4 linked regions of the Drosophila melanogaster genome follow. The protein of the gene in region 1 interacts with the protein of each later gene in a pairwise test. Each region holds a gene or a part of one and is shown in the gene's direction. Other genes may lie near its edges.

The links.
Region 2: the proteins of yem (region 1) and CG6497 interact in a two-hybrid assay, tested with the Drosophila melanogaster proteins (one large-scale study listed by BioGRID).
Region 3: the proteins of yem (region 1) and fau interact in a two-hybrid assay, tested with the Drosophila melanogaster proteins (one large-scale study listed by BioGRID).
Region 4: the proteins of yem (region 1) and org-1 interact in a two-hybrid assay, tested with the Drosophila melanogaster proteins (one large-scale study listed by BioGRID).

What each region holds. Positions count from the first base shown.
Region 1 is NT_033777.3:29,117,830-29,125,842, reverse strand, and holds yem (yemanuclein), read left to right. Parts: upstream 1-2,963; 5' UTR 2,964-3,641; coding exon 3,642-3,881; intron 3,882-3,936; coding exon 3,937-4,158; intron 4,159-4,226; coding exon 4,227-5,046; intron 5,047-5,106; coding exon 5,107-5,254; intron 5,255-5,320; coding exon 5,321-5,560; intron 5,561-5,622; coding exon 5,623-6,961; coding exon of another isoform or gene 6,962-7,258; 3' UTR 7,259-7,513; downstream 7,514-8,013. Other genes in the region: Ctl2 (choline transporter-like 2), read right to left, coding at 1-36, 106-429; Atg14 (Autophagy-related 14), read right to left, coding at 7,730-7,884, 7,947-8,013. UniProt on the Drosophila melanogaster protein: May play a key role in egg organization. May be a transcriptional regulator having a role in chromatin remodeling in concert with Hira, a histone chaperone. Involved in chromosome segregation by affecting kinetochores function in the first meiotic division.
Region 2 is NT_037436.4:17,250,897-17,256,057, reverse strand, and holds CG6497 (uncharacterized protein), read left to right. Parts: upstream 1-2,120; 5' UTR 2,121-2,234; coding exon 2,235-2,891; 3' UTR 2,892-3,681; downstream 3,682-5,161.
Region 3 is NT_033777.3:10,771,700-10,779,594, reverse strand, and holds fau (fau), read left to right. Parts: upstream 1-2,220; 5' UTR 2,221-2,343; coding exon 2,344-2,418; intron 2,419-4,529; coding exon of another isoform or gene 4,530-4,946; exon of another isoform or gene 4,947-5,576; coding exon 5,577-5,897; 3' UTR 5,898-6,398; downstream 6,399-7,895. Other genes in the region: CG45078 (uncharacterized protein), read left to right, coding at 2,344-2,418, 4,530-4,946; CG45076 (uncharacterized protein), read left to right, coding at 2,344-2,418, 6,434-6,460, 6,991-7,482, 7,623-7,735. UniProt on the Drosophila melanogaster protein: Plays an important role in the regulation of tissue responsiveness to oxygen deprivation.
Region 4 is NC_004354.4:8,448,491-8,457,410, reverse strand, and holds the start of org-1 (optomotor-blind-related-gene-1), read left to right. Parts: upstream 1-2,341; 5' UTR 2,342-3,116; coding exon 3,117-3,279; intron 3,280-5,130; coding exon 5,131-5,519; intron 5,520-5,595; coding exon 5,596-5,828; intron 5,829-5,897; coding exon 5,898-6,054; intron 6,055-6,151; coding exon 6,152-6,313; intron 6,314-7,239; coding exon 7,240-7,307; intron 7,308-8,250; coding exon 8,251-8,920. Other genes in the region: CG32713 (uncharacterized protein), read left to right, coding at 1-405.

The sequences.
Region 1 (8,013 bases):
GACGAACGTCTCTCGGGGACAAGTCTCCACACAAACCTGTTGAAATACGTATTTCATTAAAAGTAAGATCAACTCCTTGCAAATTTGATGTTAATGGTATCTCACCTGTGGAGTGTCACATCCAGTGATGGGTACAAGTGGATCGATGCACTGATTCAAGTCGAAAAAGAATAGGTTTTTCTTGTTCAGCACTCCGGAGTCCATGCCACACTTTCGGTTAAAGGAGTCCGTGGGCACCAGCAGTTTGTTGAGATCGCCGTTCCTGATGGCGTATTGGGCTATGAAGGCCCATCCGCCCAGGAAGAGGACGAATAACAGCAGGCAGGGCACATCCGTGCAGCTGCGATCCCTCTGCCTCGGTCCCGTGAAGTTCCGGTCGTAGCGCAGTGGCTCGCCGTACTTGTTCATCAGCTCCACGCTTTCCGTCATCGCTCTCTACTGAAAGAGTCCAAGAAGAACCGAGTGTTTTATGTATGTATATACATAGAGCCACTATCGATGGGTCGTCGTCTCTAGGTAATGAGATTGTCAGGCGTATATCATGTAATTTATTTCCGTGCATGCGTCATTGTTTTAAAAATGGAAAACCGAATCTGTAGTGGGTGGTCGTGTTGGCGGTGAAGCCAACCACCAGCGGCTCTTTTTGTTCTAGTTTATTTGTTAGTTTGGTTGGGGAAAGTACGATGAGTAAATGAAATTGTCGGCGACAAAGTGCGGTTTGATTATATCAACGACAGGCGGCCAACGATCCCTTTTGGATTGAACCACAATTAAATAATATTTCTTCCTATGTTTATGAATAAGACTGTTTAACCTTTTAATGATCAATGAACCTAGCTCTGTAACAAAGTTTTCTACTGGATAAATGAACTTTAAGAATGGCTTTGGATGGGCTGGTGAATTATCCATAATTATTGCTAATACATTCTCCTACAGCAGACTCATTTAATTAATCATGAAAGCAAATAGAGAGCAGAAATAAATAAAGTATCGCTCATTCGGTTTAAGAGCTCCCCTGATAACGATAGCGATCGCAACTGTACGAACCTCTTGGGGATGCGAAAATCTGCGAAGAGGTAGCAGTAAAGCAGCTCGAGCATGTCGCAAATCGGCAATAATGACGCATTAAAAAGCAAATTAAATTTGTGCGCTCACTTGTTGCTGTTGTTTGATTGTTTATGTGTATCGCTTTATTTTTGTGTGCGGCTTCTGTCCATTTGAGATGAAAAACTGGCTGCCGCCTTTAATAGATGAATTACCAAAAAAACACACAAGTTTTCATAGAAAATGGGAAACCAATTTGGGTTGGCAAGGCATTTGGGGCCACATGTTTCAAGGTCGATTGCCGTAACTCCATTTTGGTGTAGGAATTTCAATGTCTGGGAGTAGAGTTTATCATTCAAGCAGTGCTACGGGCAACACTCTCAGTAGCTAACCTTTTTTTCTTGCAAAGAAACTTGTAGACATGATAAGAAAACGGGTGTTCGTTTTGATATCTAACCCATTTGCATAATTTGTAGTGTAGAAAACTGGTTTAAACCTAAGTTGTCCTTGCATCGAGTGTTTACTGTGTTCACCTTGGACTACGTCACTTGAGATAAAAGAAAGCAGTCGCAGTTCTGATCTTATCTTATAATGGTAGTCTCTTGTTTCCCATATGAACGATTTCCCCTTGTTGTTTTTTGGAACTACAAATGTACAAGGCCCCGTAATTTCGTAATGAAGCAGTATTACTCACCTTTGCTTCGGAGCCGAACGATTCTTCCAGAGATGTAACAAAGGAGCTCCACTCTTCTCGTCGCTTTTCCTTTCTTTCTTAAAGTTCCTTTATTGTCTCATGACACTTTTTTACGAGCGGCTGGGGGCTTTTTGTTTAGCTGGTTTCCTGGGACGGAGTCACTACTCCGGCGAAAGTCACCGGACCACTGAAAGCGGGAAGCCTTTGTCGGAGCTCCGTATCCCGTACGTTGCTCTTTGGACGTCGGTCACTTGCATTCGTTGGATAAATATGTACATACATACATAAAAGAGCTCGAGTGGGGCTGCAAGCATAAAGGCAGCATAAGTGTTTATGTGCTAGTGTTTGTGTGGTGCCACTTGGGGATTGGGGGTGGGGGAGTTGGGGATTGGGTTGGATTGGATTGTGAAAAGAGCAGCACGGCACACTTTTGTTAATTGCACAATCCTAATCGTTTTCACCCGATAACGAGCACTGGCCATTCCCGTTATAATAACACCTTGCAGTTTCGACCGAATTCGAATTTCTGTGCATGCAACTCTTTTCGTTTCGCTTGTTTTTGTTGTGGAGCGGGCGCATGAAATTAAGCCCCCAAGCTCACGTACTGCGACTCACTTGCACTTGCGCTAATTAAACGGCGAGCACTTGACTTTCTACGAAGTAAACTCCTTCACAATCGAAATAATACTGAATCGCCCCAAGAAAATCTGCCCACCACCCGCGGCCCCATACTCTGAACAGCTGTGCCGAACAGTGCTGCACAACGGCCCGTTCTGGTCAAAACAAAGCAGAAATGTGTGTGGAATGTGGCACTGCACAGGGATGCACAAAAGCTAGTGCGAGTGTTGGCCGCTTTCAAGCCAGATCTCGTTACTTGTTGGAAAGTTTTAGAGCCGCGTAAGTTATAAAAAAGTTTACATTATATTTTGATTTTGGGTCCTTTTTAAACAATTAAGCTTACAACAGCATAAGCCACCTATATATTTTACGTAACCTATCAACTTGGTAGCTCGAAACTTTACTTTAAAAATGAGCTAGATGCCAAGCTAATGAATTTCTAACTAACGGAATTTTGGAAATACATAGCACCCATAACAACTAAATATTGCCAAATGCAGCCAGCCGCAGCAAGTCTCGGCTTGTGCTGCGCGCAGTGTGAACGGCTCGGAGTAATTTGCGAAAACCGCGACCAGTGCTGCGCAACGCGAGTGCGAAAGCCAAAAGCAGGGTCGGATCTTTGGTGCGGGGTGGAGCGGAGAGAATGTAGCGTTGAGGATTTTAACAAGAAACAATTTAAGAATCGCGCTCCTGGCCGTGCGAAAAGCGCCTGGTCGAATCGTTTAAATGTCCCCTTTGGTAGCGTCGATTGCGTGTGTTTAATCCCCGGTGCGCTGCTTTTACAGACTGTGTTGTTTTCGTGCCGGCAAGCCAACCAATTTGAAACCCCCCAAAAAGTTTCCACTTTTTCATTCCCCCAGAAAAGTGACAATTATTCGTGGCCGTGGTCGGCGGATGCAGCTGCAAAGCGGGCGGCGATTAAAGTAGTGCAATCCGGCGCAGGTCCTCGCCATTTGTTTATGTTGATAAAGCAGTGTTTGTGGGGCGACAACAAGAAAGTGCAGCTCAGAGTGAAATTGCCACGGTTATTAAGTGGTTGTGGTTGCTTGGTGTACGTGCAGAAAACCTAAAACAGACATCCCCAGAAGAAGAGGAAGCAGCGGAAAAGGAGGAGGAGGAGCATCAGCAGCAGCGACGTCTCTGTTGTTTTTGTTTGGCTGCGAGAGAGAGAGAGGGAAAGAGCAACGAAGAACACGCGGCTCTTTCGAAAAAAAAGGGCGGGAAGGCCCTTTCGGCTCAAAGGAAACCCTATCCCACTGAATATCCGTAACTCTGCCCGCCGGAAATGTCAAAGGGGGGCGAGCACAAGCGCGTCACCCTCACCTCGATCATCCAGGGCGATGCGGGCTTCTCGCGCTTCGGCAGCAACATCCTGGAGCCTGATGCTGCGTCCGCTGCACCCGACAACAGCTCCAAACCCACGACAAAGACTGCCAAGTGCATCCGCATCAAACTCGATCTGTTCGAGACCGATTCGAACAAGTATCCCGAGTTTAACTACTCCCGGCTTTTGTATTTGGAAAAGGTAAGAGTGTATAACTCAGTTGGAGGATCGCTTTCTAAACCCTTGCAATCCGTAGAAAAAGACCAAAAAGCTGAAGCAGGTGAGCACTACCAATGGCTCCGCAAGCACTGATCCCTTTGCCGACAACGATGACGATGTGGCACGGATCGTCAAGGAGCTGGAGGCCAAGTATGGCAACTCCTATGCCACAGGCAGGGGGAAGAGCAAAAAGGACGACTACCGGGACATTGGAATGGGCTACGATGAGTCGGACTCATTCATCGACAACACGGAAGCCGTAAGAACAAGAAATATTTCCGACGAATGCACTGAAATTATTTACCTTAAACTCTATGTTCTGTCCAGTACGACGAAATCATACCGGAGGAGGCGGAAACTCTGGAGGGCGGCTTCTACATCAACTGTGGCGCACTGGAGTTCAAGAACCTCACCAAGAAGTCCTACACCACTCGAACAGATGCCATCATCAAAATGCCAGAGCGATCACGCAAGCGCATGGTCTCGTCCAGCTCGGAAAGCTCATCGTCATCCTCGGGCGATGATGACGAAAACGATGATGGCAACAATGAGGAGGACGACGAGAGCGATTCCGAGGACGACTCCGAGGAGAACGATGAAAGCGACTCCGAAGACGACTCCGAGAGTGAAAGTCTTGAGGACGAGGACTCTGCTGCTACAGCCAAATCCAGCAGCAAGTACAAAGACAATCATCAAGCTAAGCGGGCCAAGGTCATCGTTACGGGCAAGTCCAAACCAAGCTCAAGTTCTTTGACGAGTGGCAAGAAGCCGCCGACTAAGCCGATCACCACTTCCTCATCCTCAAACTCGCCACGACCCAGCACGGTGGAGATTTCGGACACGGAAGACGGCCAAGACCCTATCCAGACTCAGCCATCAAGTCAGCTTCAGTCCCTGCCGCAGAGTCAGGCCCAGGCGCAAGCTTTAAAGAAGGTGGTTAAGACCACAACGGTCAAGGACATGCTAAAGGCCAAGCGAGACAGCTTCCTGAAGTCGCAGAGCGGCACGGCAGCTGTCAAGGGCGTCGGCAACGGCGAGCTGAAGTGTGTTTCCACCGACGTGTCCAGCAGCGATAGCAGCGATATGGAGTCTGAGCACGGCCGGGCAGATAGGCAGGCCGGTCAGCATGGCAAGGATGGGCAGGAAAGTGAGTTACATATACAGTATTAGTTGGTTGAAATCACCCTTTCACGTGTTCATTTTTAAGATCTTCGCACCGCCGACACTCTGCTCCCCACCACATTGGATGCGGACATTGTGACCGCAGTCAACAGCTTCAAAGAAGCGGTGAAGAGTCGAGACATGTGCGGCAAGAAGTTTAATCTGGATGTGAAGCTTTCGCCACTACTGCTTCGGTGAGTTTGCAGCCGATGTAAACATCAAGTACAGATTTAAGGCTTATATCCATTAACCTACACCAGGGTGTACGAGGCGGTGCTGTGCACGGACCGCAACGAGCGCAACATGGTCTTCTCCCACATCGAGTATCAGCTGCAACTGCCCAAGTACTACATGCTGCGCAAAGGGAAACAAGTGCGGGCGAAGGAGGAGAAGAGGAAGTCCACCATTATGCTGGAGAAGCTGCGGCGGGCTGTAGCTGTGGTCATGCCTAAGGCGGTGGCCAACTATGAGACGGAACTGCGCACATTTGCTGAACAGGCGTAAGATTGTTGTTAAGCGAAATAACGATTAGGTTCCTTTAGATTATGATTATTATTTTCAGAGCTGCGGACGTGAACTCCGAACTGCCGCCCAAAATGCCGCGTAAGAAGTTCCAGTGGACCAGCGAGCTACGCCATCTGCTGTACGATGTGTACCAAGCGCGTTGGACGTCCTACGCTTTCCTAGCCAAGCGCAAGGAATCGTTGGAGGAGTTCATCAATTGGTATCTCAAGGAAAAGGTGGTGGAACTGTGGCCGCCAGGCTGGATGCGTTTGGATGAGTTGCAAAGGGAAATAACACGCTACAAGAACGCCAAGCTGAAAGCAAAGGAGAAGCCAAAGGCACCGCCGGCGTCCGCATCGCCCAAGCCCGTTGGAGTTGTATCTGCTCCTGAGCAAATGCCGCCGGCAAGCAGCTACCTAAAGGCAGTGGAGGACCCTCGATCTCGAGGTAACTCCGATACGGACTCAGCTACAAGTGCCTCCTCCAACAGTCTGAAGCGAAAGCTGAAGGAGATGCCCAAGCAGACCAGCAAGCCGCCAAAGAAAAAGGTGGCTAAGCAGGTACCGCTGCAACCGCAACTTACTCCGCATCCGCAATTCCAGCTGGCGCCGGCTGCCACGGCGGCCGTCAGTATACCAGCCATTAGCAATAACAACAACCACCTGCCCCACCTGGACACGCTGCTCTCCATGCCGAGCACCTCGGCTCAGGCAGCAGCACTCAATGCCGCCGCCGTAGCAGCCGCCAGTACGGTTCTGGATCTGGCATCCCCTAGCCGGAAAATTGACCTTAACACCAGCAACAATTTCTACAATCTGATCACGGCCGCCTCCCTGGCAGCCAGCGGGAATCCCAGTCCGCATTCTGGAGACGGCCAAGCCAAGGTGATTGTGGGAGCTCGGCCCTCTCCCCATGTGATCAACCTGGATGACTATCAATGCACCAGCGATATACTTCAGACGTCCAAGCAGCTAGCTGCCACCACCACTGTCATCACCGCCATCTCAAAGGCCGCGCAAACGACGTCGGTAGCCAGGGAAAGCAGCAGCGAGTCGGATGGCGTTGAGATTGTGGGAGTTTTTCCTGCCTCTAAGCCCCAAAAGAAAGTCCAGTCTAAGCCCAAGAACAAGACTCAGAACAGAGGTCGGTCGTCTTTGGGTGCGGTGGGGCAGGTAAATGGATCCCTGGGCTACAGCGCGAATAACATGTATATCTACAATAGCCCAAGAACGCTGGGTCCAGTGTACGATCTCACCGATCCGCATATAATGAAAACTATGTCAAATCTGAAGGAAATGGAAAAGCAATTCATTCAAGCGGCTTTCTCGCCGAACAGCGTCAAGGGCGCAAGCGGAGGAATGGGATCCTCAGCGCCCAGTACGCCCACGCGCCAATGACATTCGGGATCGGCCGCACAGCAGCCCCTTCCGGCTGCTGTGACGGCCTTTTACAACCAGGAGGCGATGGCCGCCGCCATCGTGCTCTCCACGATGAGCCACGCCTCGCCGCGCTACGACCTGCTGGCCAACGGCTCCGTCTCCATGTCCGCCGCCCAGGTGGGAGCCTCTGCCAACACACTGCCACAAGTATTCGTTAAACCCAGCCTGCCGCAGCCCAGCGCTGGCGGCGATGTGGTGACCACGACTGGAGCTGCTCGCCCATCCACGCAACAACTGCCCACAAAGTTCATTTAGCTAGGGTCACTCAGCTCGTTCCCTTGCGATTCTAATCTAAGATTCTAGTGCTGATTCTAGGTAGGTTTCATTCGCAGCTGTGTCTGCCGATTTTCCAATTATTGCACCAGTTTAATTATTGTTTCTCATTGAGTCGTTTACCTACTAAGTCAGTGTACTATGCAAGCATTAATAAAGCAAATTTATATATATTTATTTATAGAGAACCATTTTTATTAAATAAAGGCGAATAAGTTATGTAATAGAAATAAATCCAAAAGGCGCATTTTCTTTACACACAGCGAATATATATGTATATATATAATTGATACAAAATTAGTTCTGTAAACCAAAGGATAACGCTAAAACCAGCAACTGCCGATAAACACCGACGTGCTGTCACAGAAACGATTACTTAGTCTAATTTGTAAAAGATAACACGCGTGTCTCATGATGATATAGCCGAAAGATCGGACGTCTGTTGGTCTGCGATCATTTGATCCAGCGCAGCACCGATGTGGCCGCCATTCGCACGAAGGCGATGGTAGACTGCTGGTTGGCCGCCGGCATCAGATTGGGATCCGCCAGCTCCGGCTGCGGTGTCAGGCTGGGCACCGCCTCCCAGTCCATGCGCAGAGAGTTTTCGTCTGGAAAGGCATCAGCATCAGTTTGAAAAGATTATTCCCCTCAAATTGCTAAACCAACTCACCCTCTGACTCCGATTCCGTGGCGGTCTCGATGCCGATTAGTAGGGAGTCCACTGACTTCATGAGTGG
Region 2 (5,161 bases), on another chromosome or scaffold:
TCGAACGTTGGATGTTGGTAGCTGGTAGCTGGTCGCTGGTAGTTGGTAGTTGGTGGCTGGAAGTTGCTGGTTTGGGCCTGCTTTTCGACGGGCCCAAATGCGTTTGTCTGTCGCTGTGTCTGCCGTGCCTGTTTTATTTTACTTTTGCATATTTTTTGGCGTGTTTCAACTATACTGCGGCGCTGTCTCTACATTTTTCAAGTTGTCTGCGTTTGACGTGCACGGATGGGCGCTCCACTGCGTCGGCGGCGGGCGAAATGGTGGCTGGCAAAGGGGGTGGCAAGGACGGCGGCGGTTGGCGTAGTTACAGTTTTGCCCATCGAATGGTTTTCCCCGCGCTCCTTGGTGCGGTTGTGGTTCGTTGCTTGGTTATCGCCAGTGCCACTACTCACACAGCCGAAGACCACTGCCTGCACCACTACGAGTGCAGCGGCAACTGCAGATGCACTCGGAAAAATCGGATAGAGCTTCCGTTGATTGATGCGTATTGAAGCAAAGTAGAATGTTTTTTTCGGTCTTGAGACCCTAAGTTATGGTCTTGAAAGAGACAATTTCCAATCAGCTTGTATCTACCTAAGGCAACTATGAAGTAAATAAAAATATATTCTAAATATACCTCATTTCTTTTAATAAAAAAAAATTAACATAATTAATTAATTAACAAAAATTAATGAAATATATAATAACACAATTTATAAGGCACACCAAATTTAATGTTTTCTTTTCGTGCCTTTAATTTGAGTTTTACTTATGAAATGTAGTTGAAAGAGTGCATTATGTGCCTATAATTTGTATAAAAGGTGAAAGCTATGAAAATATCTCACTGTCAAATATTAATTGTTTTAATAAGAAAGCACTCGATTTTTGCAAGTGCGAACCTAGCAGAAGCAGCAACAACTACTTGGGTGCTGTCGGTGAGCCTGTTTTTTAGTGCCTTCCGTAACCATTAAATTTTACGTTTTTATTAGCGCGCACACACACACATACACAGACACAGACACACTTACGCGGAGGAAGGAGGAGGAAGAGGCCGAGAGTTGGCAGATAGGCCGTCCCCACCCACTGAACTCTACCGCCCACTACCGCCCACTCCGCCAACCATTTTTGAATATTTCCGTTTTGGCTGGCAGTTTTCGGTTTTCGGCTTGTCTACAAAATGCAGTTTTGCATGCACTTTGGCCTCGGCGCAAAAAGTCAACCGAAAAGAGACAATAATAAGTGCAGAGCACAAAAGGACGAACCCGAAAAAAGGGAAAGAGCAGCATAAAACGTCGAAAAAGTAGAGCCAAGAACATGAAAACGGAAAATTGCATTGCGCTCAGAAGTATGCTATGCTTTTTTCGCTTGCCTTATCAACGTCTCAAATCGGTTAGGGTTGATAGGAAAAGCGGAGGGGCGCAAGCGGGTTACTGGCAAAACTTAGTCCAGATAGCGAAATGTTGTCGCCCAACAGGACCTGGACGTATTTTACGTATTTTAGTTGCCTGCAGCACACGCAAAAAAAAATGAAGAATACAATGCAACCCAAAGACTTTAAGACAGTTCGAGTTGCAGTCGTGGGCGGTTCCATGCGAGTTGTGGCCACTGAAATTGGTTGCATGTTTCAGGGGAACAGACCTTTACCACATGAGTGCTGTTCAAAACTGCTCAAACCTTTACAGACAACACCAATAAAGCTCAATCCCTTCAGGCCAAACAAGTTCGACCCAGCCTCGTCGAGCTCGCAACTTGTTTGGCATCCACAACATTTGGTTGCAGGGTGAACGGGCTAAAAAAAAACTCTTATACTTTTGAGTAAAACTCAATTTCAATCCAATTCAATAGCTCATTCAAATCAGAGCAATTTAAAGACCATAATAATACTGCAGAATTAATAGTTTCATTTTTGAATAGAAATAAAGAGATAATCAGAGAACGAGAGATATAGAGATTATAAATGTTCATATGGCCAATTCAATGCGTGAGTTTGTTTTATATTTATTAAAAAAATTACAAAATATTAAGAACTTAACCTAATCAAGTATAATCACAGACAAATGCCACATAAGAGGCTTGTTAAAATCGTCTTTCATTTTGCATTACTCCGAACTAAGTAGACTAATTGTATGGATCAACCTTTCGGAACATAAGTACCAAAATTAACCGAAACGAAAATTCAAACCCAGTCGGACTCATCCCCTACCAGCCAGGAACCATACACCGAAAAAAGAAGGAACCAAAGGACACAGGACATAATGGAGCTGTGGCAGAAGCTACGAGTGCAGTTTAATGACTTCTTCCACGCGAACTACCCGTACATAGCGCTCTACAGCGGACTGGGCGTGGCAGTAACAGCCTACTTGCACTACCAATGGAGCGTGCACCACTACGACCTCATGTACTGGAAGCGTTTGGCGGAGGTCTTCTCGCAGGACATCGACTGCATCCAGCTGGCTATACTGCTCTTGATCTTCGCGATCAACGCCATTTTCGTATTCATCATCCTGAGCGTCTATCTGCGCCCAGCCCTCGACAATGGCAGTGAGATGTCCTTGCTGGAGATCAAGGATCGCTATGCCCGGTTCATACTGCTCCGCCTGATAGCCCGTCTCGATCGCATACAGTCGAAGATCTCAGCGAAGCGTAAGAGCCTCACCTTCCAGCACTATGTGAGGGCACACACGAACATGGTAAAGGCGGTGGCCGTGTTCCGCAAGGATGCACGCAAGCTAATCCTGCCGAATGAGAGCGAGATCCTGATGCCCATCGAGGACATCTACGGGGTGGCTGATGACGAAGAACGACTGCTTCGGCGATCGGGCTACTACAAGCTGATCATCGACACCACCGACGAGACGGTCAAGTCTCTGTTCAACGCCAAGCTGGAGGAGATCCTGTTCCCAACCAGCTAGACGACTCGGCGGTTCCGATTGAAACTTTGAGTAAACTGCAGTCCAACACTAATTGCCTTTATCTACTCTGCCAGAGCCGCAGCTCCGAGGGCCCCTTCTTAAAGCCGTTTTATTGTTTCAATTGTTTGGCTTGGCAGCTTTTTATGGCCGCATTGTGCGCCGGGCCAACAATAACAGGCCAGTCGGAGACTGTCAGCCGTCCCCAACCCCCAATAACAATAATGGCAAAAGAAACAGCAGCAGAAACAGCAGCAGAAACAGAAGCAGAAGCAGTTGCAGAACCAGACCAGAACTAGAAACAAAACTCCAACGAGGAACAGAGACTAAACTAAAATGCCAGCCCATGTCTGCACAGCTCAAAACAATATCTAATGTTGTCTACGGCAAAATATTTTGCAAAGCGTCTTTTTGTTTTGCCCGATTTCTGTGTCCTTCAGGCCTTTGTGTGTCGACTTTTCTTTAAAATTAGCTAAAAGGTTGTGTAAATTTAACTGAAAGTGGGATAGCAGTGAAAGAAAAGCGTTGCAGGGGATAAAGGATTCTTGGAATGCATCGTGGGTACGAAAAGCAACAAGGGCGACTAGGAAATATAAATAAATTTTCTTATGGGATGATATCTAACTAAATTACATTTTCGGATGGCATGAAGTGGACTAGAGTCCGCAGTCATTAGTGATTTAATCTAGAAAAAGAGGGGAAGAACCTTTTAGGAGGAGCGTCAAATTAGCATCAATAAAATTGGGCAATAATAAATTAAATTCATAAATTCAAACACTCAACAAAATTATATAATTGACTTTTTTGGTTTGTGGTCGTACGTGCGGGCATGACAACAATCTGAAATAAAGATGCATAAATTGTTAATCTGTTTAACAGTATCTTAAGTAGTTGTAGTTCTTGATCTAATAGTACCCGATATCTCGTCGTTCATACGGACAGTCAAACGGACAGTCAAGCGGACATTGTCAGTGATTCTGACTTTATAGTGTTACATACTTTACAACTAATCTACAAGATCTAAATGTTCGAATTTTTATGTCAGTTAAAAAAAGCGTCGAGACCTATTAATTTGTAAACGAAATTGTTAATTATCTTTTTGATTGTAATACGTTATTGTACAGATTGTTGTCGTGCCATTCAAGTCTCGCAGTTAACCATTTAAAATTCACATCCTTTCATTTGCTTCAACTCGATTTCCGCAGCTGCTGCTGTTGCTCACAAAATACAACTCATATCCTTGCCAATGACTTCAAAGCAGCGCATGCTTCGCTGCGCGCCAAAAAGTAGACAACAAAAGCCTTGATAATGAAAAGCGGAAAAAACACGCACTTTTAACTTCACTTTTGGCAGCTAATGCGCGAATGGCCAAAAAGTGACAGCCTAATTTCGGTTAATGTGGCGTGTCCTTTGCTTTTGGCCATAAATCCGCACAGCACGTGTGTGGCAAACTGCATTACTTCATTCGCAGTGCGCACTTCTTTTTCCCCATTTTTCGTTTTTTTTTTTTTTTTGCTCTTCCTTTTTTAATGATGGCCACGGGTGGGCGGCTCACCTCCCGGCGAAAAAGACATTAAGTAGATTATGGTCTGATTGCATATTTGCGGATATGCGCGCCATAAACACGTTCAGACGTGCTGCAACCGCAACAACGGCGAATGGTGGAAAACACGGCAGCGCAACAGCCGAAAGCCAACGCGAAAAAAGTCGCCTGCCTGGCTGTAACAAAACAAAAATCCAAAGAAAAAAAAACAAAAAAAAACAAAAAAAACTCAACAAGAGCATTAAGAGCGGGGTCCAAAGAGAAAAGAATCGCGAAAACGTACGCGCATCTAACCGCAGACTAAATGACGCCTCGCCACGCCGCCCGCCTTGTAAAACAAATACTGCCCTTTCTACTCCGCTACACAGAAAATAAAATTGTGTACCAACTGACACATTCAAAACAAATCTAGAGGTTATACACTTAACAGCTCTAACGGTTGAGGGAGTGAGAAAGGGGGAGATATGTATGTACATATGTACATTTGATCATTTTAACTTGAAGCTATAAAGGTTAACGGAAATTTTTTTAGAAAACAGTCCAGGAATATTTAAATAAAATTCAAAAAAATTATTTAACAAACTATTTAAGCTTAAGCTTGCAACCCTTTTTTTTGGAATCTTATATATATTTCGTTTTATAACATAGAATTTATATATTTTAATTTGGGAAAATGAAGCAGCTAACTATAACTTATGCCAACGCCTATGGAATTTTTCCCCCTTCCAGC
Region 3 (7,895 bases), about 18 Mb from region 1:
CGTTCGCTCTGCTCCAAACTAATATTTCCAGCAGCAGCAACTCCACTATTTATAGGAGTTGCCTAAAAATGCAAGCAATTTGTTCAAATTACAAAATGTCAAGCAGCGTGCGGATTTGAATGCCGTTTATGCGAGTATTTGGGAAAAAGTGAGGAAAGAAACGCATTCTAGCAAAACGAATGAACAGGTGTTTGTAACCATATAGGCACTTATGTCCCCATACAAGCACAGTAAACAACCCCCCCCCAATGAAAGACCATTCATCGTACTTATGTCGCTGTAATGCGCAATTTTCATTGCATACTCAATTATTTAACAAAATTATCGCAGACACAAAAAAAAAAGTGGCGAAGACGCCAACAAACAACCACGCTGGCTGGGCGGATAAATTGAGCAGCCATGCATCTGAAACCAAAAGTCGTATATCTATGTACTCCAATGGATCAAAATCGCGACTTGGGAACGGAGACACATGGAAGTGTTTGCACCTGCGCCACTTGCATCATTATGAGGGGCATCCGACCAAGAGATTTCTGGTATTAAGTCACTGACATCTTGCCGCTCGTTTTATATCGTATATATATTCAAACGGGCCTAAATATATGGGCTCTTACATTGATATTTATAAGCTAAACGTATATTGCTGAATAAATTTTTGTAAGTTATCGTAATATTAAACATTAAATAAGCATATCAAGAAATATTAATACTAAATTCGTTTGAATAAGGTCTTTTACATTCATATTTTTTAGATGCATAGTTTCAAAAATAATCTCTTAAAGATCTTACAGATCTAAAGATTCAACATCGTCAGGGTCGCCAGACAATGACCTCCATATATCACCTCATATTAAAATAATGAATGAATTATGTCAGACACGAATACTTTTATGGACAATTAGTAAACCTTTTCAAGTTGCAGACCTAAAGTAATACCTCTTTATAGATTTATGAAAATCAACATGTTGCAGAAATGTTGTGCCACCTTTTTCATTTAATCAAAGAAGATTTGTTCGCTATATTGAATCCTTTTCGCCAATTTATTTTCTGCTAATTTTTCAATGTCTATTAACACCTAATTAATACAAAGCAAACACTAAATTCCAAGTCAGTGCTCAATGACATTTTTGTTCGCCGATTAGGCTGACTTCGGCAGCCTTGAAATTACGAATCATTCATTGCCTCTCGTTAAGGTTAATGTCATAAAGAATTTGGTTTTTTTGAATTTCTGCCATGGTTTTGTTTATATACAAGCAAACACCTACACACCCGATTTAAAATGTGGGTATAGGATGATGTGCAGTTTATTTATATGTTCACGAATACATGTTTCCGATCTTATTGTAAGATGGTATGAGTAATCTGGCCTCAAACTGTTGGAAAACAACATTTATTTTTATCTTATTTTCATTTTTGTATTTTCTTAATAATTTATATCCAGCTATTTGTGTGGAAAGCTCTGTGTCCGGTCCACAGGTGATACCCACTGACCATAAATTGCTCTCAGGATTTTAATTTCACGCCTTATTTGTTTCAAAAAATGCCAAGCTCATTCATATCAGTTTTGGCTAATCAATCTTTAAACAACGGTGATGCTTTGAATGCTGATATTTTGAATGATGGGAATACGAATTAAGCTATAAACATTATTAATGTCTACATGTAATCATACTGCTAAATGCCAATTAAATGTAAAAATATTGAAATTACCATAATCAATAATTGCTCATTATATTGAGAAATTCTTGTGGCAGATTTATAAATAAATAATCCGCCGAATGTTTTGATGTTTATCGACCCATATTTAGCCTATGCCAAATATTAGCCTTTCCTCCATCTTCAGATGCCATCATCATCAATTCGAGTCATATCCCATGCTAAATACAGATTCTAATCTTATCTATAAAGTTCTGGAAGAAATCCGTGACGTCTGTTTTCGCAGATAAGGGCTCTATATCCTGGGAGCACTAGACTCGGTACATTTCATGTGTATATAGGCTTTTCCGAACGCAACTGTATGAAAAGTGCTGGCTTTATGTAAACAGAATTCGCTCGCTCTTTTGCGAGGAGAGATGTCAATGTTTCTTAATTCCAAAAATAAGTTCATTTGGGAGATGGATAGAGAAAGAGGTATGGACCGAACGTGCGAGAGAGAGCGGGATCGAAGGCTGTGAAAATTTTGAAAATCAAAAAATTATAAGCAAGTGCTCCGTGCGATTCTCAGGCAGATCAACTCGAACGGGCGTCAAGTGAACAACACGCAACGACGATATATCCGAACCAAAATCCAACGAACAATTCTATTTGAAAACTCTCAAAGCATCCAAATCTAAAAATCTCAACATGGTTTACGAAAGTGGATTTACGACCCGCAGAACCTACTCCTCGAGGCCGGTGACAACTTCCTACGCAGTTACGGTAAGCCCTTCGAAATAGAATCTGAACTTTACTTGACATACGGTAGTGTGGTTTTCCTCGATTTAAATCTGTGAAATATATCTGTGCGTACAGTTGCCAAACTCGAAACTTAAGCAGTTCAAGAATAAACTAACCTGTGATTGCAAAAAACGCTGAGGATAAATTTGACAAATTTGAAAGCAGTTAACTATTTGCTGTTAGCACTTAGCTAATGGCTAATCGAATCTGTAGTCACAAGAATTCAGTTTTAAGCGCTTGTGTCCCACTTGCTGTACTCAATGGTATCATTCTGAGAAGCGAGCAGATTACTTGAGAAATTGAAACACGTTTGAATGTAAAGTGTCTACCAATTATGAATATCGTATCGAACTTACAGTACCTAACTAGCTGGTCTTTCGCAACGGAATGTCCTTGTGCTCAGAGATATTATATTTAATGATCACCTAGACGTTCTGCCCATGTTGTACATATATAGCATTTTCAGGTTCAGTGTAAACATTTGTGTAGTAATTCATACATAAGCCTATTTCTAACAATTTAATAACTCTCACACAATGGTTGTGGTGTACTCGTACTACACTGAATACTACATATGTATATCTGAGTTATGTGCCTGCACAGTCGTCTAACCATAATTAAACCAGACCGAAATAATAAATATGTGACAAAATATTCTGACAAAACGATGCGAGTGTGAAAAGATTGCAATTTTCGCGCGATCGTGGGAATTGAATCTTCAGCAAATTTATTGCTGTGCAATGATCTTCATATCTCTTTCGGATATACGTGTTTACTCACCTCCCAAATATAACACGCTAAATACATTTTGGGAACTAAGAATTTAGCGGAGGCCGAACATTTTCTTCTCTATCTCTATATTTTATTATTATTTACAAAATGCTGAGGTCCGTCTGGTCTGGTGGTCTAATGGTCTGGTGCCCAAAAATGTTTAGAATATATACATATGTATGGGCGAGTGGAATTCCAAACACATGCGAATTCGCGATGAAACTCATACGGAGCCACAGCTCTCTCGATAATTTGTTTTTGTACGGGCCGTGGATTTGCTTTTTGTATGTGTAATACTATATGCGCGCGCATTTCGCTCTTTGCTGGTCCTAAAAATATCTTTCCGATTTCCATAATATATTCAAATAAACCGATGCCATGGCAAGCAACTACAACAAAATAACGCAAAATATTCGAAAATTAGAGGGAACAACATAAGAAAATGCCCATTTTTTCGACTGTCCAATGTGATGATAATCCAAAGCAAGGATATATATGTAGGTACATCGAATCCCCAAGAGATCCATCTTGTCTGGACACTTTCTGTGTGCCATGCATATACATTTTGAAAAGCACTCGCTGTTTATAATTTATAGTGATAACTTGATGATTCGATGAATGAAAACGGCAATCTACTTTGATGTGTATCTATGAAATACGTTTTATTGAGATTTAATTTTTGGTATTTAGGGTTAGAATGTAGGGTAACTGGCTTAATTGATAAATAAACTTGGCTAAATTGCTGTAAATATATATACGTTTGCTGTTTGTGTTCCATCTTAATGCTCCCATTGCACATTACTCACAACCACACTACGTCGTATCAATATGCATATATACATATGTGTATTTAGACTAGGGTGGACCGTTTGGAAAAACAAAATCTAAATTTTCATTACTGCACTTCAATAGAAACCTGTTAAGTAGGCTAGCTTTCTGCAGCCCAACTGTGCAAGCAACGTTGCGTATACGTAATATCTGTTTAAGGCTTGTGCAAACCAAAAGAGATGCAGGTCCACCCTAGGGTTCAGACACATGTGTAGCTATGCATCTTGTGTCATAATGTAAGGATGTTCGATGTTATTGGATACAGCTTGACCCACCCAGCACTGCGATCTGATACCAAACTCAACTACTGCCCCAACGAAGCTGTATATAAATGCCCCGCCCGCGTACTGTATATACTCGTACATATGACTTTGACCCACCGCACCGCCCAGTTGAGATCCCCGTTCGCTGCACCACCTAACCACTGAGCCACAGCTTAATCCCCGGCTGACCCAGAAATTAAAAACAAAATTGTGGACTTTTGGGCATTACAGAGAACGAAGAGAACACCAATTGACTGGGAGAAAGTTCCGTTCGTGCCGCGGCCGTCGCTCATCTCGGATCCGGTGACCGCCTTCGGAGTGCGGCGTCCCGATCTCGAGCGGCGCCAGCGGTCGATCCTCGATCCGATCAATCGGGCCTCCATCAAGCCCGACTACAAGCTGGCCTACGAGCCCATTGAGCCGTATGTCTCCACCCGGGACAAGAACCGGACGCGGATCCTGGGCATGGTGCGCCAGCACATCGACACCGTGGAGGCGGGTGGCAATACCGCCGGCCGCACCTTCCGCGACAGTCTGGACGCCCAGCTGCCGCGACTCCATCGCGCCGTCTCCGAGTCCTTGCCAGTTCGCCGGGAGACCTACCGCAACGAGAGGTCGGGCGCGATGGTCACCAAGTACTCCTACTAGGGGAGCATCATCCTATTCACCCAACCGATAACCCGAACCCAATCGAAGCCTAGTCGAACGAACCTAGTCGTATCTAAGGACACATAACCAACTAAAACAGACAAAAAAAAAACTGAAAATGCATTCAAAATAATGATAGGCCTACATATAGTCTAGCCATAGTCCATATAATCTTGTGTTAACCCACTAAACACTGAACAAGTTTTTACTCTACACAGAGAAAAAGTAGAACTTTTAGACATTCTATCCAGAATACGTTGTAATCGAAATATTTCCATTTTAGCAGTACGCTCTATAGAAATTGTTCAATGAGATTCCAACTACAAACGGTCAGTGCTTTTTTCTCTGTGTACCCATGTATCTAACGTTTCATTCATAGACTCATAGCATTTGTGTGCATAGATGGTTGCATTAAGCTCTTAACTCTAAAGTAAAACAGTTCGAACATGTTTCAATTTCCCCAATTGAGTCGCCTTGCGTTCTTTGGCCATTTGCATACAGCAGTTCGTGGAGCAGCAGGAGCAAGTTTAATCCTTTTATGATGCTTGTGCTGCCAATGCCGAAATAGAAACCAAAACCAAAACCAAACCAAACCTTATCTCTATATCACTATCAAATCGGAATTTATAGACTCCACGCTTAGACCTGTGCACGGACAGACCGGGCTCGCACCGCAGCCGGGCCTCCTCGGACTACTCGTACACCTCGAAGTCGTCCGTGGAGAAGAGCAGCTACGACTCGAGCAACCCGCACTCGTACCGCCCGGAGCGCTCCACGTACACGTCGACTGTGGAGAAGACGTCGCGCAGCGGTCCCGGCGGCTCGTACAACTACAGCACAGAGCGGACCAGCACCACTGGCGCCGGACCCGGTGGCTACAGCTATTCTTCGACCACCAGCGGCAACCTGCCCGGCGGCACCAAGTACCGCCACTTCTCCTACCACGTGTAGGAGACGCACAGCGTCAAAGGATCGGCGTTGGCTGTCCACGGCTTTGAATGTTATGGTGCCCACTAATACGTCATTGTTCTGAATTTATATATATATATAAATATATACATTTTGCAAATAATCCACTTAACCCGCTAACCTTGAGTGCCCATATATATATATATATATTTGTATACGAAGTTTTCAATGATGATGTATTTTCGTTTTGACTTGGACTAATCACCACTAATGCCCAAATAGTTTCGCATATAGACTAGATTAACCGAACAAGATCAACAATTTCTGTGTGTATTTGCAACCTTCAAGAAGTCATGTTAAAACATATTTGTGATACAATAAAATAAACACGGTCTTATCTCAAATGAACGTAGCATTATATTTTCTTGAAATGAACATATATAGAGGTCGATACGATATTCATACTGAAGACACAAATTAGGATAAGGAAATCTAAACCGTTTCTGTCAAGAAATATATGAGAGTTGTCAACTCTTTTGAACCAAAACATGACTTGCTCTATTTTGTATTACTTTCAGTACCCCTCGGTCGAGAAAGTAACTCGTGTAAGTATTTGGTTTTCATCCTTATCGCCTACATCGCTTGTCATCATCCATCTTTCTATGGATTATTACTATTCTTTTCTATTGACTTATATCACACACTGTTCAATCACATCCATCACATCATCGTCACTGGAAAAACAGATTCGGTTAGTAATAAGCCCTCACATCATAGTCTTATTTAGATTAAAGCACTAGAGAATCCATTTAATCAAAATAGAAATTATTCTGGGTAAATCCCACGATCCCACGTTAAATAATCTGAAAGTAGTAAGCATTTTCAAGATGCATTCTTTACTTATTATCATTTCATATATCATCATTTTTGTGATGTAAAATCGACTACTTCCATAATCATAAGGCAGACAAAACTGCCTAAATGGAGAGATCACGAACATATGGTTTACGTTTCTGTTTCTAGTTCTTATATGTTCTTTTTTATTTTCTCTGCTTTCTCATTCCGCTAATCAAATCATAATCACCGAACCTTGCATATTCGATGTTGTCTTAATGTTGAAACCATTGCCATATAGGTGTACAAGTCGAGTTACCCCATCTACTCGAGCTACTCGGTGCCACGCCGCGTCTACGGCGCAACCCGGGTGGTGACCTCGCCCATCCGCGTGGTAACCTCGCCTGCCCGCGTGGTGTCCCGCGTCATACACTCACCATCGCCTGTTCGCGTTGTCCGCACGACGACCCGAGTGATTTCATCGCCGGAGCGCACCACCTACTCCTACACCACGCCATCGACCTACTACAGCCCCTCCTACTTGCCATCGACCTACACTTCGACCTACATCCCGACATCGTACACCACGTACACGCCGTCCTACGCCTACAGCCCGACCACGGTCACCCGGGTGTATGCCCCACGCAGTTCGCTGTCGCCGCTGAGGATCACCCCCTCGCCGGTGAGGGTCATCACCAGCCCGGTTCGCTCTGTGCCCTCCTATCTGAAGAGGCTGCCGCCTGGTTACGGTGCCCGCGCCCTGACCAATTACCTCAATACCGAACCCTTTACCGTAAGTTGGTCCAGCGTACTTAGCACGTTGCTTTCGTAGACACACAGAACCAGGAGTAGTGTTGTTCTGGGCCCTCGCTTCTAGACTTCTTTTCCTTCGATTTGGCCCCCACCCCCTTTAACATTGAATTGATATTACAGACCTTCTCCGAGGAAACAAGCCGGATTCGCAACCGCGCGCAATCTCTGATTCGTGACTTGCACACTCCCGTGGTGCGCCGTGCACGTAGCTGCACTCCCTTTCCCGTCACTGGGTAAGTAGGGGTAATTACCACCTAATGGGCATCTGAGCACATTCCATTCCAATGAGGACACTTTCGAAGCCAAAAATAGATACAATAACACCTACATGGTACCAATTATTTATGTTTATATATGTACATTGCAACAATTTGGCGCACATTCTTGAAACTA
Region 4 (8,920 bases), on another chromosome or scaffold:
CGCGTGCTATCCAATCAGAGCGTACTGGAGGATTTGGGGCCCAATAAGTCCACCCTGGATCTCACCTGGAAGCCGGTCGTCCTGACGGCCAATCAGAGCAGCAAGTTAAGCAAGTTCGGCTATGGCAGGATAGACGATAGTGAAGTTATGTTTACACTGATCGGTGGCTATCAGCAACGCGAAGAATATCCTGGTGGCCTAGTCAATCCACCGGACGACGAAAGTCAACTAAACTTCAACGCAGGTGACGATGATGATGCACTGGAGGCCCAGGACATGACTGGACACGATTTGTCCTCAATTCAAACCGATGATTTATCGCTCAAAGGCCAGACGGAACCGGAGCTGGATTGCTCCATTGGATCTCATGGATTCTCTGGATCTCAAGAAGAAGGCCACGAATAACGACAATGAGAAGTAGACTGTTGTAAATTATCTTAAATTAAAAATATTTAGTCGTCATTTAATTTCGAAATTCCTTTAAGCCAAACGCTTCGATTTGGAATCTAAATTTACGATACAATAATAAACCTTTAGTCGATTTCGTCCATGATGGAAATTTTACAACAAATGCATTACACTCATTTATATATAATATTTATATAATCGATAAAAAAGATCGAATATCGAATTTATGAATCATTTAAGTAATTTCTTCGAAGCAGTTAGCATTTCATTTCCAATTGTTTACACTCAAACAAATAATTAACGACTAAAATGGCATGGCCAATGCCATAACAATTTTTCAAATTTATGTATTATTTATGGACTGCATGGTACGATCTGCTGCGATCGAAATGCTTCTGAAAATGCCAAAAAAAAGGGGAAAAAAAATTAACTCAAAATAATTGTAAACAGTAGTGCGGCAAACGAAAATCAGGGAAAAACATTAACAAGCAGTTGTTCCATAAATCCAGGACGCAACTGGATGCGTAGATTTATATGGAAGGGGTGAGTAGGAGGGAGGGTAAACAAATCGATTCACTTGGAGACCCCGTGTGCCAGGTAACATATACTACTACATGCTATATATAATAGATATACCATCTATATGTATACATATGTATGTACCCACTAATTGGAATGGCCGTGGCTGATGAAAAGCAGACGCACCCGGTTAATCGGGCTGTTTCACTTTGATCGGTCCAGTTTTCTCGGCTTCCCCGGATCTCCATCTCCGCTGGGCCCACATTCCGGGCTCCAATGGCCAACAGACGCCATTTTCGACCGCCCATCTCACTCCCTCTTGTGGCGGAGGTGGTGGCCGCCGCTACACTGAGCGCAAATGTTGCTCACAGCTAATTCAAATTTCGTATGAAAAATTAGCAGTAATCCTTTTTTTTATGTATTAAGTATTAATTCATATTCTCTTCGTATTTCTTATGTTTAATGCAATTTTTTCCAAAAACTTATGATTATTCCAAATGAATTGAATTTTTTGGGTGCGCCTTGCCAACGTCTTAATATTCCGTTTTCCTTTTTACGGTTTATTTAGTGTCGAGGTTATGGCGCAATTTGTATTTATGGCCAACAGCAGCAGCAACATCTCGGCTGCACTGCAGCATTGAGCGGAGCACCGCGAGATCCACGAGCAACCAGCACCACCATGCGTGCGGCAGTCCAATTAAAAGCGTTTTCCAAATGAGGCCCATGACTCTGGTCGGCCACCCACTCCACGGGCCACGCCCACTGATCAGCGCGCCCCCCTGAAAAAAAAGAGAATGAAGAAAACAATATGCAAAAGTGGGGATCACCTGCTCCTCCTCCTTCTTGATCTTCTCCACCGCCTGCTGTTTATGGTCAAAGACCACGCCCCTTCAAAAAAAAAAAAAAAAACAAGAGAGAAGTAAACAGTGGAGCAGAAATTAGTGAAACGTGTGGAGAGTACAGTGATCTATATACTCTAAAGGATACCTCTATACTATTTACATGCATTAAGTTATTAATATGATCAAATTAGATTACATAAATATAACTATGTTAAGCATAGTTTGCATAAAACCAAACAAAGAGTTGCAGATAGCAAACCCCAAGTGTTCACCAAGTTCTAGGCCTCACTGTAGCCACATCTGGTAAATGCCTTGCGCGCACCCTACGCTCAATTCTGCGCGGCATATTCATCCACTTGATACTAGGCTAGATCCCAGGCGAGCCAACACATGTCGGTGCGATCCAAGGAGGAGTAGAAGGAGGAGAAGGAGAAGGAGGAGGAGGAGGAGATGGAGGAGGAGGAGGTGGCCGTGCGGCCATTGGTGGATCGATTGGTGCGGCTGGCGAGTCTAAATTTGGATGCTGCGGCCGGCGATTGGCGGATAGATTTCTCGATTTGGGGAGATGGTCCGTACAATGCGGCATCTTGGGATCTCGAGAGGCAGCGATGCATCTGCCCAGCAGCAGCAGCAGCAGCAGCCGCAGCAGTAGTTGTTCTCATTCGGCGGACCAGCGCTTGACGGAACGGATGTGTGCGTGATCAGAGATCTAGGCATCCAGAGATCGCATTCGAAATCAGATCAGATCGATATATCCGCGAGATATAAACATAGGATACTATACGGGATAATCAGTTCGCACTTGGCCGGAAGAAGGTGGCAATTGAGACAACTCAACGCTTTCTGCCAGTCGAATTAGAAAGAAAACAAATAAAAGAAGTTCAAGTCAATCAATCAGCTAACACAGGGAATTAAAAACAAAAAACAAAAAAACAAAAAACAAAAAACTACAATCGGGCAAATTTTCGCCAGTCAACGCGATCGGGCCATAAAAACAATTCGAAGAGAATTAATTTGATTTTTCATTCGATTCTTGAACTCGATCTCGATTCTGATTGACAACAGCGAAAGGTTGGCGTTGGATTTTCGCACCACTACATACTTTTTTTTTGCAGTGCACAGTGAGTGAGTGAGTGAGTGAATGAGTGAGTGATTGTGTGTGGGTGCAATAATCAAATTTGACAACTGCGCGAATAACGTTCGAGATCAAAACAAATTGTGCCGGAATAAATGGAATAAATGGGCCAAGAACTCGCTGCGATTTCCTTTCTTCCACTGTGAGCATCACATATCCAGCCATCATATATATATATCATATATATATATATTCCAACGATCACGCTCGCCATGACGCACCTGATGGGCCCCACTGAGTGCGCCGGCGCCATGATGACCACCACATCCATGCAGTTCCTGGACACCAGCCTAACGGACTACAACTGCTATGGCAACGACTACTGGACATCGCCGTACATGACCGGCGGACTCAGTCCCATGAAGCAGATCGAAGGTGAGTCGTTTGAGTTGACTTAAGCTGGAGAGGATTAGGCAACTCTACCGCGGAGTATTTTAAATCGGATATTAAGATATTAGGTTGTGTACCTTTAAAAGTCGCAAACAAGCATACAAGTAGATTTTTAATATGTTATAACTTTTGCATGAACTTTTACTTTTGTTTAGACTTTTAAGTCCTGTAAAGTATATTTTTTTTTTACTATCTGTTTCAAAACTTAAACTAGAAAATAGGCTTTTAGTTTATATTAGCATACTACTAGTTAAACATATTTTTCCAAGATTTTATTAGCTTTACCTTTCAGTTCAATCGAATGTACAACTAAAACTTCTTAAATTCAAATATATGCTTTAAATATTTATCAAAGAAGTATCGCGTAGCAAACAAAAGGCGAAGCAACAAAAAAGTCATATTTTCCATTTGACTATTCGATATTATGTTTTTTGTTCAAAAATCAGGCAATGGAATTTTGCTAGCAAACAAATGTATATATTCCATATCATTTGTCTGCCTGCAAGTGACCCAAAAAACTGAAATGGAATCCGTTTGCGATAGAGTAATTAGCAAAATACACCGAGCATGGCAGCGGCGGCACAAATGACATCCAAAAGTTTAAAAAAAAAAAAACTGAGAAACTGAGAAACTGAAAACCAGAGAATCGGAAAACCAAAAGATCAGAAAACCAGAAAACCCGATCAATTAGCTCAGAATTCCCGGATCCCCGAGATTTCAAGTGGCATTTCTCTCGTGTTTGTTGTTGTTTGATGTTGTGCATGTGACAGAAAAACGATTTGTTGTGCCAAACGTTAATTGATTTTAGAATTCATTCGTGCAGCAAAAAATGCTAAAAAAAAAAAATCGAGGAAAATGGGCAACTATTTAGCGCTAAAGCGGCTAAATGACCTGTCATGGGTCATTCGCGGCATTGATTGCCATTGCGGCAATTCCCGCAACTGCGAGCCCAGTGACAATTAATTGCTGAAAATCTCATCTCATCCCATGCAATCCCATACCATACCATACCATACCATTTTACAGGCATCCCCCGAAAAGGGGAGATCCTAAATTTAGAGCATGCAACTCAATCAGCAGCCGCCGCTACTCAGACGCCTCTTTTATAATTGGACATGTTGTCCCATTTGCCCCAAACTCGCAACTCGAAACGTACAAAAAACAAAAAAAACAAAAAAAAAGAAGTCGGTGTGTGGATATATCATCAAGTGATATTATTACAAGACTCCTTTAATCAGAATTCAGAACTGTGAACTGCGAGCTCCAGAAGTGAGAAATCTGCGCCGGCGTGGCGTCTACGTGCTTTCTGCCCCACTTTCTCATTTAAATCGCATAAATCACATTGAGTATGAAATTAGCAAATCCCAGCAGCTATATACATGCATATATATTTTATATATATAAAACCCATTCACTTGCTATAGAATTTATACGCGCTACGTGTTTGATTTATAGTCGCATATTTTCCGCCCATTTGTCAGTGGGATATGAAAAAATACAGGGGCTTGAATTGAGATATCTTCATTATTAATTAGTTTATAAAGGGATAAGGATAGTTTATAGGGATATCCAAACTATAGTTTTCTTTAAAGTAAATCGAGTTTTGTATAGATTTTTTACATATTTTACATAGCCACATGGATTACTTGATCATTCTTCACTTTTAATGAGCAGCATTTTATGTTACATTACTTTTACTACTTAACCGCCACTTTAACCGCGACTTTAACCCGCACTTTAACCACCACTTTAACCAGCACTTTAACCACAACTTTAACCCACACCTTAACCTCCACTTTAACCCGCACTGTAACACCAACTTGTGCTTCACTGCAGCCTGCATCCAAACGGCTGGCAAGGATCGCAGCTCGTACAAGCCGCTGGAGCAGATCGATGCCAAATTGGCGGACATCGAGACGCACAGTACAGGCAGCACTGGCACCGCGAACAGCAACAGCAGCACCAGCAGCATCTCGAATCCCAGTTGCCCGGATCAGTCGTCGTCGTCGTCATCGTCGTCCGTATCGCTGCCAACCGATTATGCCGGCGTACACAGTGAAGCCTCGATGGCACCAACAGCCGGCGGCACGGCAGTCACAACGACATCAGCTGGCGGAGTCAGTGCATCCACCGCGTCCAAAAAGTTCAAGGGACAGCACAAAAAAGACAACAACAGTGCGGAGAACGGTACAGTGAAGCCCAATAGCCATAATATCAGCAAAGGTGTAAGTAAATTCAACGATGGGAAACGAAATAAATAATAGATCATTTAAAATATATGATTTCCAATTGATAATTAAGGAATCGGAGCCAGTGCATCCATCGCTGGCCCAGGCCATTGTGGTGCTGGAGACGAAGGCGCTGTGGGATCAGTTCCATGCCCAGGGCACCGAAATGATCATCACCAAGACGGGCCGACGCATGTTTCCCACGTTTCAGGTGAGGATCGGTGGTTTGGATCCACATGCCACCTACATTTGCATGATGGACTTTGTGCCCATGGATGACAAACGCTATCGCTACGCCTTTCACAAGTAAGTTAATGTTAAAAAGCCATGGCCACATGGAATTCGATGAAAATGATGCACTTCAATTTGCAACAGCTCCTGCTGGGTGGTGGCTGGCAAGGCGGATCCCATTTCCCCGCCCAGGATTCATGTGCATCCCGACTCGCCAGCCGTCGGCTCCAATTGGATGAAGCAGATCGTGTCCTTTGACAAATTGAAGCTCACCAATAACCAGCTGGACGAAAATGGACATGTACGTTTCATTACTTATATAGATAGATAGATAGATATATAGATAGTTAGATAGATAGATAAATAGGTATATTCAAATCCTGCCTCTTCATCTCCAGATCATTCTGAACTCCATGCATCGCTACCAGCCGCGTTTCCATCTGGTTTATCTGCCACCGAAGAACGCCTCCTTGGATGAGAACGAGCACTCCAGCCACTTTCGCACTTTCATCTTTCCGGAAACGAGCTTTACGGCCGTAACTGCCTACCAGAATCAGCGGGTGAGCATGATATATATATGATATATATATTGTTAATATATGATATATATTGTTAATCGAAATATGCTGGTTGCTATTTGTAAACATTTACCATAATGATTTATATGTATTATCAATAAGTTCATCTTGGCATTCGAAGCGGCCAAAAAGGCCGCGACCATTTTGTGCCATTTTGGCCTTATTGTTTATGTTTTTCCCATAATTTATAACAAACGGCGGCCAAAGCTAGCACAATTTCAACCATAGCGAATATATATATGTATATATAACAGCAATTGGAAATGCGAGCACAGACCATGCAGATACTCTAACCCGAAAAAAAAAATATTAAAAATAAAAAAGTAGCATACACAAATACACAAGATTTTAGAAACCACGTTTCCAATGCACTGTGGCTTTCATTCGAAAAATGGGGAAGATAAGATTATCAGGTGGGATTGATATCAGGTGGGTGCATTGATATTAGTAATGAACAGTGAACAGCATATCTAATCGCAAGTTGAAAGAACTCTCGACATACATATGTACATTGTATACCCTCGGTTTTCCACATTTTTTTGTCTTGGTTGTGATTCATAATGATGGCCAGGGGGAGGGGGAGGGGGGAGGGAATTTTGTGGGTGGCTAAAAATATAACCATAGACATCGTTGGGGCAAGTATTTAAATTATTTATGTGGGGGTGTTAACACTTTTTCCACCCGCCCTCGAATTTATCGCAAATCATTTTTACCCCGCCGCCAGCGGAATGCCACATATGCCACATAAACATATTTTCTTTTATTATTTTTTTTTTTTTTTAATTTTTTTTTCACTAATTTGTTGGGTATTTAATTTATTTGTTTGGCCCGCCAGCTTGTCGGCATGCCTCAAGCGCTTTTCCAGTCGAATAAAAATATTTTCCACCAATTTTCCGGCCGTCTTGCAGGTGACACAGCTGAAGATCTCCAGCAATCCATTCGCCAAAGGCTTTCGGGATGATGGCACCAACGATGTGTAAGTAGTTCCAAATCTTTTTGTTATTTTAATTTTTTTTTATTTTTACCTATTAACTATGAAAGCTGAAATCAGCTTGCAACTATATTTTAATGCGATTTCATTTGTCTGCGAAAATGTGGCAAAGTAATTTGATTGTCTAGCATTGTGTTAAAAAAAAAAAAAACATGTGCTTAAAATTAGTTCTAGATTTTTGACACGAGCATTTCAAAATGCTGAATGAATAAATTTCAAAATATATATAATAATAATAGTACACAATTTTCGAACGTCTAGAAGTAGTATAAATGTAAATATGTAATAATAATAACAAATGATAAACAAATTGACCCACTTTTCAAAACTTGAAATACACAAATGTCCAAAGTGGAGCTAGACATTCGGTCGACATTCGGCATAGATATTCCCGGAAAATATTGAAAAACTTCAAATAACGCAACAATAACTCAAAAACAAAAGAACTTCAAAATGCCGAGAATGTGAAGCTGGAATGGAAATGGAAATGGGAATGGTTTAGGGAATGGGAATGGGAATGGGAATGGGACTACTGATGATGATGGTGATGGGTGGACTGACAGATGTGCCGGGCGGCATAAACAATTTATTCGAAGGGCTTTTCATATTTGTCGAACTTGCCAGGCCGCGACTTGGTAGCATAGTGTAAACAAATTCCCCAATTTTGTTTACGATCGTGGTGCTTAGGCAACTTGTTTATTACGAGGAAATACTTCAAATAATTTTCATTTCTTTTCTCCGAGTGTTTGGCTTATGGCTTTCGGCCTGGTTATGTTACAAATCATAACACTAATATTTATAATATTGCACGTTTTTACACTTGGCCAACTGAGCAGCATTCGCTGTAGATTTAAGCTGTAAATGTTGCTTCATGTTAGTTATATATTGTATATATATTTTTATAAATTGCCATTGTTTGACATTATAGAACCACTGGCGGTGGCAGCAGCATGTCCTCCATGAGTCACGAAAGTCAGGCGCGCATGAAGCAGCAACAGCAGCAGCAGCAGCAGCAGCAGCAGCAACTGCAGCAGCAACAGCAACAGCAGCAGCAACTCAAGGAGCGAACGGCAGCAACCAGCAACTTTGGCCTGAGTTGCAGCGAACTGGCCATTGAGCAACAGCAGCAGCAGCAACAGCAACAGGGAGTTCTGCAGCTACCGGCCACGCCCTCCAGCAGCTCCACCTCCGGCAATTCACCCGACTTGCTGGGCTACCAGATGGAGCAGCAACTGCAACAGCAACACCAACAGCAGCAGCAACAGCAACACCAGTCCCAGCAGCAACATCTCCACCAGCAACACCAGGCTAACCAGCAACAATCGCTGCTCCAACAGAGCCAGAATCACACGCAATATGGCAGCTATCATCATGCGTACCAGGCACAGGTGCAGTCGCATCCCCTAACGCCGCACTCCAGCAGCTCCGCATCCCCGCCAGCAACTGCTGCGCCGGGCGCAAGTGCAGCAACAGCAGCAGTAGCGGGAGGAGCAGGAGCAGCAGGAGCAGGCGGAGCAACGTCAGCCACACAAGTGATGAGTGCGGCCAATATCTATTCGAGCATTGGACAACCCTATGCCCAGGAGCAGAGCAACTTT